Linked DNA regions of Caenorhabditis elegans. The protein of the gene in region 1 purifies or fractionates together with the protein of each later gene. This does not show direct contact. Each region holds a gene or a part of one and is shown on either strand. Other genes may lie near its edges.

Region 1 (4,473 bases):
GTTACCAGCCCCGAAAATTGTCCGGTCGAGGTTGTGATGGCTCCTACTAAAGTTTTTGTTAGAGAATATGTTGGTGATTATAGTGTTGTCGCAGCAGTCGCAGAAGTATGTGACTGGCTTTAAAAATATTGGAATTCAAAAAAAAAATCGTCTCAGGCTTATCAAACAATGATTCATGGACATTATTCAACTCATCAAATGGGCATCTCGCAGCACGTTTCTTTATTGCTCCCAATTGGTTCGTATGCAAAATTCAATAACGTCAAAGTTTTTGGAAAATCACTTAATGCGTTCGATCATTTTGCAGTTAACACAGAGGCGGTGAGTTGAAATTCTTATTAAAATTAACAACAAAACATGTTTATTTAGGACCACCTCCCAGTGAGCCATGAAGATCTCGATAAACTGGAAGCCAATTATGGAAACACTGAAGAGGTCCTCAGGCATCGTGCACTTCTCAAATCAGAGTTCTCACAGTTCCTCGACAGAAACTTGATGTTAATAATCATCCTTCTTACTATTGTTTTTCTTGTTACTGTGACCATTGCTGGAGTCAGCATTACATTGCGCAAAAAGAATTTCCAATCACTCCCAGTGGTTCTGTATTCTAACAATAAGGTCACTATTATTCAATAATTATATTTTAATTATGTTTTTATCGTTGTTAACTTACATGACTAGTTGTTTTATTAAGTAATAATAAAGTTACAATTGTTAGTGTATCACAAACTTTTGGAGATCTAAGTAGAAAATATTAGATCACAAATCGATATGTCTTTTGACCGCCCGGATTCCAAAAAATGCAGAAGGTCTTGGAGATTGTCCAGCATGATCTCGTTCTCGTTTTACAATATGTGAAAATGTGGAGACGCAATTTCCAACAAACAAGTCAGCCCTTCCCATGATGGCAAGTGATGTGTACATGTCATCAGGTTCTTGACGATGAGCTTCGATCTATAATGAACTCAAATTGCACTACGACTTAATAAAAAGTAAATAAAACAGTTTTAAAAAAATTACCTCATATGGCTTCAAAGCCTCGTTTATTTCATCTATCATATGATCTTTGTCGCTTGCTACGAACACCGACTTTGCTCCAATTGATCCCACTTTTTCAACGATCTGATATGAGAAAACATGAAACTACATATTTTGTATTAGCAAACCTGCTCTAAAATTTGTTGTTTGCTCGGTGAGCATATTTCTTTGGTAAGTGTGCCCAGATGATGCCCCTCGCCAAGACACTGTTCCGAGGCAAACAATGGCCGATTCGTAGTTGTATCAATGTGCTCACAAACTCGTACCTAAATGTAGATGTGAACAAATTAGATGTACATCGCAAAATCTTACCCAATCAGCGTCATTCCTTAAATGAACAGCGACAAAAGGTTTTGCCAAGTTGGCCGAAATGAATTTCTTGGCTTGTTCGGTAATTCGTGAGGACCATCTTAAATATTTCTGAATAGACCAGACTTTTCCTTTGGAAGGAAATGGAGCTGGAGCACTGGAAAATGCCAAAACGGGGTACTCTTCCGACGGAAACTTTTCTAGCCATTTCTTTCTGCTTCCCATTTGATTCAAATCGAATCCTCCAGGAATATCTCCGAAATACTCATCGCCAACAAATGAAACATCAATTTGATCCCAATAAGGTCCAAAGGGGTTACCCTCTTTCGAATGGCATCCTGGTTCTGCAGATTTATCGTAGATCGCTTGACGCGGAGTCCAACAAAATGCTAGAAAAACATTGTTGAATGATGGCAAAACAGAAACTGTACCTTTCCGCTTTTCTGGGGGCCACACTGTTGGCATGATCTTTTTTGTGAATTCTTGCATGGTGACTACTCGGGTGTACTTTGCGACTGTGCCCACTTGAAACAAGAATTCAAACGGAATCATCTTCTGAATTTTTTGAAAAACTATTATCACAAAATTATAACAAAGTTATTTTTTGCTCACCGTTTCAGGATGCTTGAATTCGATGAAATTGGGTAGTACTAGTGTTCTATCGAGAGCTTTTGCAAATGCAAGAACACCGAGAAATTGGTCAACTTGGTTGCCAAATCTACCTGAAATAATTCTGTAGATTTACAGGAGTATCATCAGTGGGGATTTAGTATATAACCAAATATCACAATACTATCCTAAAGAGTTTAGCTTTTTTTTTTAAATACTTTGGCAAATTACCGAATATTCCAAAAATGTACTTTTTTCTTTTTCTCGAGGAGTTTTCATATATTTTTCAATTCTACTTTTAACCACAAAAATGCATGCAAACACTCACCCATGCACGGACAAAACACAATATATCCATTCGGATCAGTTTCGTTGGATTTTGCTTCTGAATACGAGCAGACTGATATGAAACTAGCCAACGTTAATACTTTTGACACTCTCATTGTATTATAAATTTGGCACAACCATCTAAAAGTATAATTTTATTTGGAAAGTCAGAAAGAAAGATAAGAAATATTGTAAACGTGTTCAATGTATTTGCACAGCCGTGCCTTTAATCGATAATGACATTACTTTCCAAGATAGTTTGACAAGGCGAGGCACTTTTTTTGGCACAACAAGACACAATGTAATTTAAAATAATGTTGAAAATATTCATTTATATAAAAATATAAAATATTAGTTTTCACACCCGATACGGATACGAACATGGGAAAAAAGACTTTAAAAAAAGAGAAAAAAGAGAAAAAAAAGCCCAGAAGTAGTTCTGATCTACAGACTTGTCATTTGTCTAACAGTGGGGAAGGAATGTACTATGTACCTTTGGATTGAGACTGGGAGCAAAAATCGATAATAATAATAATGATAATAATAAAAATATGAAATGTGAGAGAAGAGAAGTCAACTATATATGGCACGTACGTCGTCAGACCAGAAGGACAAAGACGAGGAAAAACAGGAGAGCTGAGAGCACCATGATCATTTTGCATTGACTGGACTCTGCAATGAATAGGTTGTTGAATAGAAGAAAGTGACGGGGGGAATGTTTCCGGTGACTATGGAACCTGGGTCTCGTGAGCACTGCTTCAAAATGCAGGCTAACGGTGCCGTGCGCAACGTGTGAGGACTGCATGCATTGAATAACTCATTATGCTCATTTTCAATAGAATAGAAAGAAGTTGGTGAAAGTTTCAAAGTAGCTTCCTGCTGGAAACGCTGCATCTTGTGAAAGTATTGGATGTTTTCTGATTGAAAACGAGGAGGCGCTATGTGTTCGATGATACACTTTGCTTCCTAGCTTCCGGTGCTAACATAAACAAAATCGTTTACATTCTACGGGCCAGCAACATACCATCCTCCAGGTGCGTCAGCTTTGCCATTTTCTTCATAGCAGTGTCCAGTCGAGTTTCCGAGTACTCCATTTCTTGTCCTAAATCGTCTAGCATTCTGAAATCGCAAAATTTTAATATTTCTAAGTTGAAATAAGCTGGTCAACTTACGTAGATTGCTGATCCAATTCGTCGCCTATCATCGAACTCATTCCTCTCAACGTTCGCACCGAATTTCCGACGAGCTCCAGTTCATCGTCTTGTTCTTGAATTATTTGCTGAAATCATTTCTTCATTATCACATCATTTCTTCATTGAATTTTAGTACTAAAACTTACTTCTTGCCGAGTCAGAATTTGGTTAGCCGAGGATGGCATATCCTCCAATGAGATCTCTTCTTCGTTGAGTTTTGAGTATCGGTAGTTGCTCATTTTCACTATTAACTGAAGAAATTAATCCTTTTACTTAGAAAATCAGCTTCTGGTAGAAAAAAAGTATATTGAGAGGTGTGAAACCTCTAACGTCAAACGAAAGAAAATATTTGAAAAAAAACGTTTCTGATTAGACAAATTACAATTCCAATAACGAAGCGACAATGGAAAAAATGGTACAAAAAATTATAGTCACAGTAGAGGAAAATGTGATATGAACCAGAAAATGAATACACCAAGAAGACAGAAATTTAACCCGCGAGCTATACAGTTTCTTTTCTTGATAACGAATGGTATATCTACACACAATAGGCGAACAAAAAAAAACGAGGAAAAAAAAAAGTTTCGTCTTTCTCAATTTCGTGATAAGCATCGCTCCCTATTTTTTATCAATAATTTTCATCTCGGCCATGGGAACTTTAAGCACGCTGCCCATTGCTTTCAAGATGGCCTTGCTGGCGGCATTCGGCGATCCCATCGAATGCAGGAATTGGGTGAAAATATTGCGGAGGTAGTCGATTTCGCTTGTCGACGATAACATTTGAAGTTTTCCTGAAAAAAAACAGGAGGTATGATTATGATATAATAAAATCTCAAAGTCGTACCTTCTAACACTCGAACCTTCTCCGTCATTTCTTCATTGTGAGCAACTGATTCAAGTTGGCGGGACATTGATACAGACTCGTTTTCTCGGAGACGTATCTCAACATCCATAAGTTGCCGTCTGAAATCAGATTAATAAATGCAAAGTTTCAGAT
Region 2 (7,169 bases), on another chromosome or scaffold:
ATCAAACAACAAAAACCAGTTTTCCACAAGGAATCCATCAATTTCTCACTATTTTCTTATCAAATTCCGTGTTTTTCTCAATTGTTTTGTTTTTTTTCGCTCTTCCTTATCCTCCAGGAATTTTCAGTTGAAAATTGGAAAATTGGCTGAGTAGCGGCTCAGGTAGAGCTTCCAAGATGATTTTTGTAAATTTTTAATTCTATATTTGAAGTCTACTCTAGAAATTACATATATCCCTACATTTTCAGCTTCGTATCTCAACTTCCACGTATTGGCTGAGTAGCGACCCAGCTGCAGTGTGGGGATACGGAGTTTTGTCAGTTCGAGTGGGAAATGGCTGAAATTTTTGGGTCAGATAGATTGTAACATGCTGAATTTGAAAATAATAATGAAAATATTCAAAAACTCAAAAATTTGAGAAAGAAATCAGAAGAAAAGTAAAGTAATTCAACTCTGTGACACTAAAAATCAAGATTCTATTTCAAATTTAAAGTTTTCTTTTTTTAAAATTTCAGCATCACTTTCATATTCTACACAAATAACTATATATATATATCTAAAAGTTTTCAGCTACGCATTCCAATTTTCACATATTTTCTGAGTAGCGACCTAATACACTGGGGATACGGAGTTTTGTCAGTTTTAGTGGTGATTGGCTGAAAAATAAAATTTTTGAAATTATTGGGTAAAATGTTAAAAAATAACCCAATTACAAAATTTGGAAAACACCAAAATTTCCAAATTTTTTTCCAATAAAAAATAAATTTGGATTTTTTTTGACAAACATTTTTTTATAAATTTTCTGCCGTTTTCCACAAAATTTCCAACATTCGTGTTTAAAATTAAATTCTAGTTATTTTTCTTAAATACCCCAAAAATTTCAGCTCCGTATCCTAATTTTAACACATTCGCTGAGTAGCGACCTAAAGCAGTATGGGGATACGGTGATTTGTTGGTTTTACTATTAGTGGTAAATAGCTGAACATTTTTCTTAGAAAATGTGAATTTTTAGTAAAAAAATCAAAATTATCACGAAATTTTAATGGGAACATTATTTTTGGCAAAACGATTTTTTTTTCAAAAAAATTTCCAGAAAAGACAAAAATTTTCCAATATTTTTTAAAGTCAGTTACATTCAATTTCCGCATTAACTCCTATCACCGTTATCACCGCACCGCAAGTTGCGTCCCGCAACCCCATACACCACCTCCCAGCTCCCCTGCCAATGCAAACGCGCTCGAATGCAAATTAGGGTTCTCTGCGTCTCCACAGCAGGTTATGATGGCGTTTCGTAAGTATTCATCTCACGATTTGACATTGTTTCTATTGATTCTTGATTTTATGCGAGAAACCTGAGATTTTCATGTGAAAATCATGGAAAACCTGGATTTTTTAAACTGAAAATTGGTTTTTTAATCGAAAATTAACGAAAATCCAGTTTTTATTCTGGAATTTTCCAAAAAAAAAAAGTATTTAACATGAATAGTTACATTTGATTTATTTTGTGCAATGCTTTAAAAAAATTCCTGCAAAACAATTTGTTAAAAAAATATTAGACAAAACTCTAAAAAAATTTTTTTTTTTGCATTTCTCCCACTTTATTTATTTTTAACGCACAGTCTGAATTATTTTATCGATTTCCTCCTAAAATTTCCAAAATTTACTTCAATTTTTCCAGATTTTTCGCCGAAGAATCTCCTTGGCCCCAGCTCACTGATATTTCGGGTTTTTTTCGGAGGATTTTTATACGCTAAGTAAGTTTTTTTTTGCTAAATTGTGTTTTGTCCTGATACGTGTCAATTGAAAAAAAAAATTTCAAAAAATCTGGCAAAAATAGTTTTTCAAAATTTCAAATTTTAAGACTTTCAGCATCCAAATTTATAATTTATGTTGTTTAATACGAGCATACCAAAAATTTTGGAAATTTCCCATCAAAACTGACGAAACTCCGTATCGTCCACACTGTAGCTAGGTCGCTGCTCTGCCAATTTGTGAAAATTATCAAAAATAGTCAGAGTTTGTCTAAAGCTCAAAATTTCGGCACATTCTAGCAATTTTTGAGGTGTTTCCGGTAACTTTTTTAAAATTTCGATATAATCTTCAAATTCCACACAATTTAATACGTATATCCCGAAACTTTCAGCTCCGTACCTCAATTTTCAAATATTGGCTGAGTAGCGACTTAAAACACTTGGGATACGGAGTTTTGTCAGTTTTTGTGGGAAATGGCTGAAAATTTTGGGTCAGATAGACAAAAACGTGCTGAATTTGAGAATAACAGTAAAAATATTAAAAAACTAAAAAATGGAGAAAAATAAGGAGAAAAAGAAAACCAACTCTGTGCCACCAAAAACCAAGATTCCACTTGAATTTTTCAGTTTTCTAAAACATTTTTCCAATATTTTAATATTAACTTCAAATTCTACACAAATTAATATCTATATCCCGAAGTTTTCAGACCCGTATCTCAATTTCCACATATTGGCTGAATAGCGACCCAATACAGTGTGGGGGATACGGAGTTTTGTCAGTTTTAGTGGGAATTTGCTGAAAATTTAGTTACTTGGAAATCGAAATACTCCAAATTCAAAAACTAAACAAAGATTTGATACCGCCAGTGTTTTGCCCGCAAATCGCCTAATTTTTGCCGCCTCAGCTAATTTTTCACTACCAAACTAAACCAATCATACTAAAATCGAATATTCGCATGAAAGTTGTCCTGCTTCAGTTTCCCTACTATATGTCTAATCCTCTCACCCTCTAATCACTTTCAGCGTGAAGCTTGAAGCTCCCGAAGCACAAAAATCAACACGTGGCTCGTTTTTCAGCAGAATTGGGTGCTGTCTGTCAACGAAAAGTAGTCCAGCGGAGAAGATAAAGCCGCCGGACGAAATTATGGCTTTTCATGAGTATCCTGTTACTCAGGACTATCGAATTAGTCGGAAGGTAGGGGAAAATTGAGATTTTGGATGTTTTTTTTTTGAATTAGAAATTTAGAGGATATTTATACATTAATTTTTTTCTTGAAAAAGACTTGAAAACCTCCGAAAAAGGACTAGGGTCTTCCTAGTTTTAAGACTGCTTTAGAGAAAAACTGAATTATCTCAGAAACTAAAAAAGATTTCGAAAAATTTTAACTAATAAGTTGTGCCAAATTAAATTTTCAAAATTTTATTAGTTCACAGTTTTTAAATAGCTTCAAAACTCGGTGAGCTACAAGAATTTTTAAATCAAAACTATTTGTTCCAACTTGCCAACTTGCTAGAAAAAAGTTTTCAACAAAAACATATTAAAATTACATTTTTCATATTTTGTAAGTTAACAGTGTGTAGATATTAGGGCTTTTATTATAGACAGGCGTGGTATGAGGGCCTGCCTGTAACCTGCCCGCCTACCTTTCGCTTCTTTTCTGCACTTTGTCGTAAAGTTTACAGTTTACATTTCAAATCTTCATTTTGTTGAAAATCAAATTAAGAAATGAAAAAAAAAGTTAAGGTATGTTTTAGCATAAAGCGCGTATTGAGGCGAGAGCTAGGCGGAGGTCGTTTTGAGGTCAGGCAGGTAGGCGTTTTAACGCCTACATGAAAGCTCTCCAACTAACTAATGTTCTTTTTTTTACAGGTTCTCGGCGTAGGAATCAACGGAAAAGTTGTGGAATGTGAGCACCGCCAGTCGGGCGACAAATTCGCGCTAAAAGTGCTCCGAGACACACAGAAAGCTCGTCGAGAAGTCGAACTTCACGTGATGGCTTCAGGACACGGCCACGTGGTTTCAGTGCACGATGTGTACAAGAATTCATATAACGGAGTCGATTGTCTGCTCGTTGTGATGGAAAATATGAAGGGTGGAGAGCTGTTCAATCGGATTCAGGAGCGAGGTCAGAAGGCGTTTACCGAGAGAGAAGCTGCTGGAATTGTTAACGAAATTTGCTCGGCGGTTGCTCATTTGCATCGAATGAGCATTGCGCATAGGGATCTGAAACCGGAGAATTTACTTTATGTGTGAGTTTTTTAGAACTACTTGGCTAGGAAAAACGTGCACAAATTTAAATTGCTATACTTCACAAGTTTATAACTTTTTAATATCCTTCAAACTCGGAAGATTGAAAGAATTTTTTTCAGATTTTTCCCCAAAAAGTTGAAGGTTTGTAATTCGAAAATGTTCCCAGCCTAAGCGTAAGCCTATGTAGGCCTAAGCCCAAATCTAAGCCAAAGCCTACGCCTAAGCCTAAGCCTGAGTCTGAGTCGAAGTCTAAGCCTAATAGTAAGACTAAGCGTATGACTAAGTCTATGCCTAAGCCTAAGCTTAAGCCTAAGCCTAAGTCTAGCCTAGTCCTACGCCTAAGCCTAAGCCTAAGCCTCATTGTCAGCCGACGCCCAAAATCTACAAATTATCAATTTTGCAGCACCACAGCTTCCAACGCCGCTCTGAAACTCACAGATTTCGGATTCGCCAAAAAAACAGATGAATCGGAACCCCAAGGCCTAAAAACGGCGTGCTTCACCCCTTACTATTGTGCTCCGGAAGTGCTCGGCACCGAAAAATATGATAAATCTTGTGATTTATGGTCGATCGGAGTTATTATGTATATTTTGTGAGTTAAACAATGAGTTTTTCTGTATACATAAAAATCATATAATTTCAGACTGTGCGGCTACCCACCATTTTACTCTCAACACGGACAACCAATGTCACCTGGAATGAAGGCGAAAATCAAGTCAGGACAGTACACATTTCCGAGTCCCGAATGGGATTGTGTTTCTGAAGCAGGTAAGAGTTAAATTTGGAAAAAATCAAATTTTTCGTCTAAATTTCTCTTCTCAGAAAGTTTAAATTTCCGCCTAAATTACCCGCTAAAACTTTGTTTTCATAAAATATAATTATTTGCAGCCAAAGACCTAATCCGAAAGCTTCTCCGAACTGAGCCCACTGAACGTATCACAATTGAGCAGACAATGGAGCACAAGTGGATATCTCATTACCGTAGAGTTCCAGATACTCCATTATTCACAAGTTCAAATCTGAACGATCAACGGGAACAATGGACGGATATGCAGGATGAAATGGAGGCTACATTGGCCTCAATGAGAGTTGGTCCTGAAAATATTCAGATTAAAAGCCTTGGAGACTCGAATAATAAGCTTTTGGCGAAGAGGAGAAAAGGTGGAGCTAGTCCGGTAAGGGAGTTAGGATTTTAAAAAAGTTTTTGTAGAACAAAAAATTCAAAAAAAATTTAATGAAAAATTTAAATAATTTTTTCTGACACTTTTTTCATTATTCTAGAAAAATAATTTTTAGAAGAAGTGAAGCACCTGAAATTCACTAAAAATGCAAATATATTTTTTGAAAAAAGTTGAAAATTTTTCTTTTTTTTTTAAATTTAGTAAGTCCCTAAAATTTGTGTATCTATCAGTGCAAATTTGAAATTATACTACTATTTTGTTCAATTAAACGCCTCAATTTTTTTTTTGAAAAAATTGTTAAATTTTGTACGTTTTTAAGAAAGCAGGTAACTATAATAAAACAGGAAAGTTTTTGAAATGTATGTTGAAAAAAAAACGTTTAAAAAAATGAAAAGTCAAAAAAAAATTCGGAAAAAATGTATGATTTTTTTGGAAAATTAGTTTATTAAAGAACACGTTTTTTTTCAATTTTACAAATTTTTTTCAAAATTTTAACTGAACAAAAAAGAAATCTATCTGAAAAATTTAAGCCTCACACACTCTGCTACAGGTTCCTCTTTATTTCAAAAAGCCGATTAATTTATAGAGTTTTCTAAAATTAAAAGTATATCGAAAACTAATAAAGATATTAAAAAGTTGTAAACTGACAAAATAATGTACGCAAAATTTGCTGCAGTTTGTTAGTTGACAACTTTTTGATATCATAGTTACCCGAGGAGATACGAGAGTTTTAATTTGAGAGGCCAGAGATCAGGCTTTTCCTTGCTTAAAACACTCGTAACTCTGCACTGTAAAGATATCAAAAAGTTGTACACTGACAAAATGAAATTCGTATAATTTCCCATTTTTTATCAGCTCGCCAAGATACAAGTATTTCAAAAAATTAGGGCAAAACAATTTTTTCGAGTGTGCGAGAGATAATTAGAAATATATTATTTAAAAAAAAATTAGAATTAAATTTTTCTCAATTTTCAGAAAGACGATCCCATGGACGATATCAAGGAGGAGGAAAAGGACGATGAAGAGGAAAAAATGATTTCCTAGAAATTTATAAAATTCTCAAAAATTCCCAATACTCCCAAAAACCGAAAAATGTTTTCCCCCAAAAATTGTGATTCTCTCTTTCATGTTTTTCTAATCAATCAAAAGTGCACAAATAACCATTATGTGGACGGTCCTCCCAGTAAACCCCGCCCCTTTCCTCTCTCGAGTACTCACAGGTGTCTGATGCTCAGTTGCTCCTTCCATCCAAAAATGTTTCTTTTTTCTAGTAATTTGTTACATAGATTTGTCTGGTTTCCTTTTTCGATCGGTCGCAATAAATGTATTTTATTTTATTTTTGAAAATTGAAAAAAAAAATAGACTCTTTTGCATTTTTAACAACGTTTTCTACTATATCACACTTAGAGCTTGAAGATGAGTATAAGAATGAAATAATTTGCTTGAAATTAAATAATATTGGGTCTCGTAGCGAAATCTCCGGGGTTACTGTAGTTTTCATGGTGGGACCCTATGGTTCATATCATCAACGAGTTACGTGAAAAGTATTGTTTAATGCATCTCAGAGTTCAACCACGATACTGAAATTGATATGTCTTGAATGAATAAATAATTGTGTACAGACCACTGCAGTAACTGTTTCAGAAAATGACACTAACACCAAAAGAAGATTACTGACGACATTAAGAGGTGCTTCTCGAAAAACAGTTGTTTGTGTCATAAAATCACGCCTGCTACAAAATTTTTTGTCGTTCTAGAAAACACTGATAAGCTAGAGCAAAAAAGGCATACGACGAATATTTTCTCACTTTTTCTGATCCTCTTACATCACCTCTTTTTCATTATTATTTTTGAGTAAGGCATGGAAAAATTGAAGCCACTTTCCTATTTAAGTACTAAATCTATTATACATTATATTGATCCGATTTTACGGTAATTTTTTAGAGTTTTTGAAAATAACTAAGACTATTTAGTGTTTTAATTTG

What was found.
Region 2: the proteins of pfut-1 (region 1) and mak-2 fractionate together in Caenorhabditis elegans (co-fractionation; one large-scale study listed by BioGRID). This does not show direct contact.

The regions. Positions count from the first base shown.
Region 1 is NC_003284.9:3,163,779-3,168,251, reverse strand, and holds pfut-1 (GDP-fucose protein O-fucosyltransferase 1), read right to left. Parts: upstream 2,425-4,473; 5' UTR 2,400-2,424; coding exon 2,285-2,399; intron 2,070-2,284; coding exon 1,960-2,069; intron 1,903-1,959; coding exon 1,779-1,902; intron 1,737-1,778; coding exon 1,351-1,736; intron 1,305-1,350; coding exon 1,167-1,304; intron 1,123-1,166; coding exon 1,021-1,122; intron 960-1,020; exon of another isoform or gene 955-959; coding exon 760-954; 3' UTR 673-759; downstream 1-672. Other genes in the region: C15C7.6 (Glycoprotein), read left to right, coding at 1-105, 157-321, 370-636; syx-6 (Putative syntaxin 6), read right to left, coding at 2,882-2,955, 3,308-3,402, 3,456-3,562, 3,623-3,715; gcc-1 (GRIP domain-containing protein), read right to left, coding at 4,095-4,267, 4,321-4,439. UniProt on the Caenorhabditis elegans protein: Catalyzes the reaction that attaches fucose through an O-glycosidic linkage to a conserved serine or threonine residue found in the consensus sequence C2-X(4,5)-[S/T]-C3 of EGF domains, where C2 and C3 are the second and third conserved cysteines.
Region 2 is NC_003282.8:883,668-890,836, forward strand, and holds mak-2 (MAP kinase-activated protein kinase mak-2), read left to right. Parts: upstream 1-1,678; 5' UTR 1,679-1,754; intron 1,755-2,828; 5' UTR 2,829-2,895; coding exon 2,896-2,946; intron 2,947-3,621; coding exon 3,622-4,001; intron 4,002-4,405; coding exon 4,406-4,594; intron 4,595-4,645; coding exon 4,646-4,770; intron 4,771-4,890; coding exon 4,891-5,177; intron 5,178-6,158; coding exon 6,159-6,227; 3' UTR 6,228-6,533; downstream 6,534-7,169.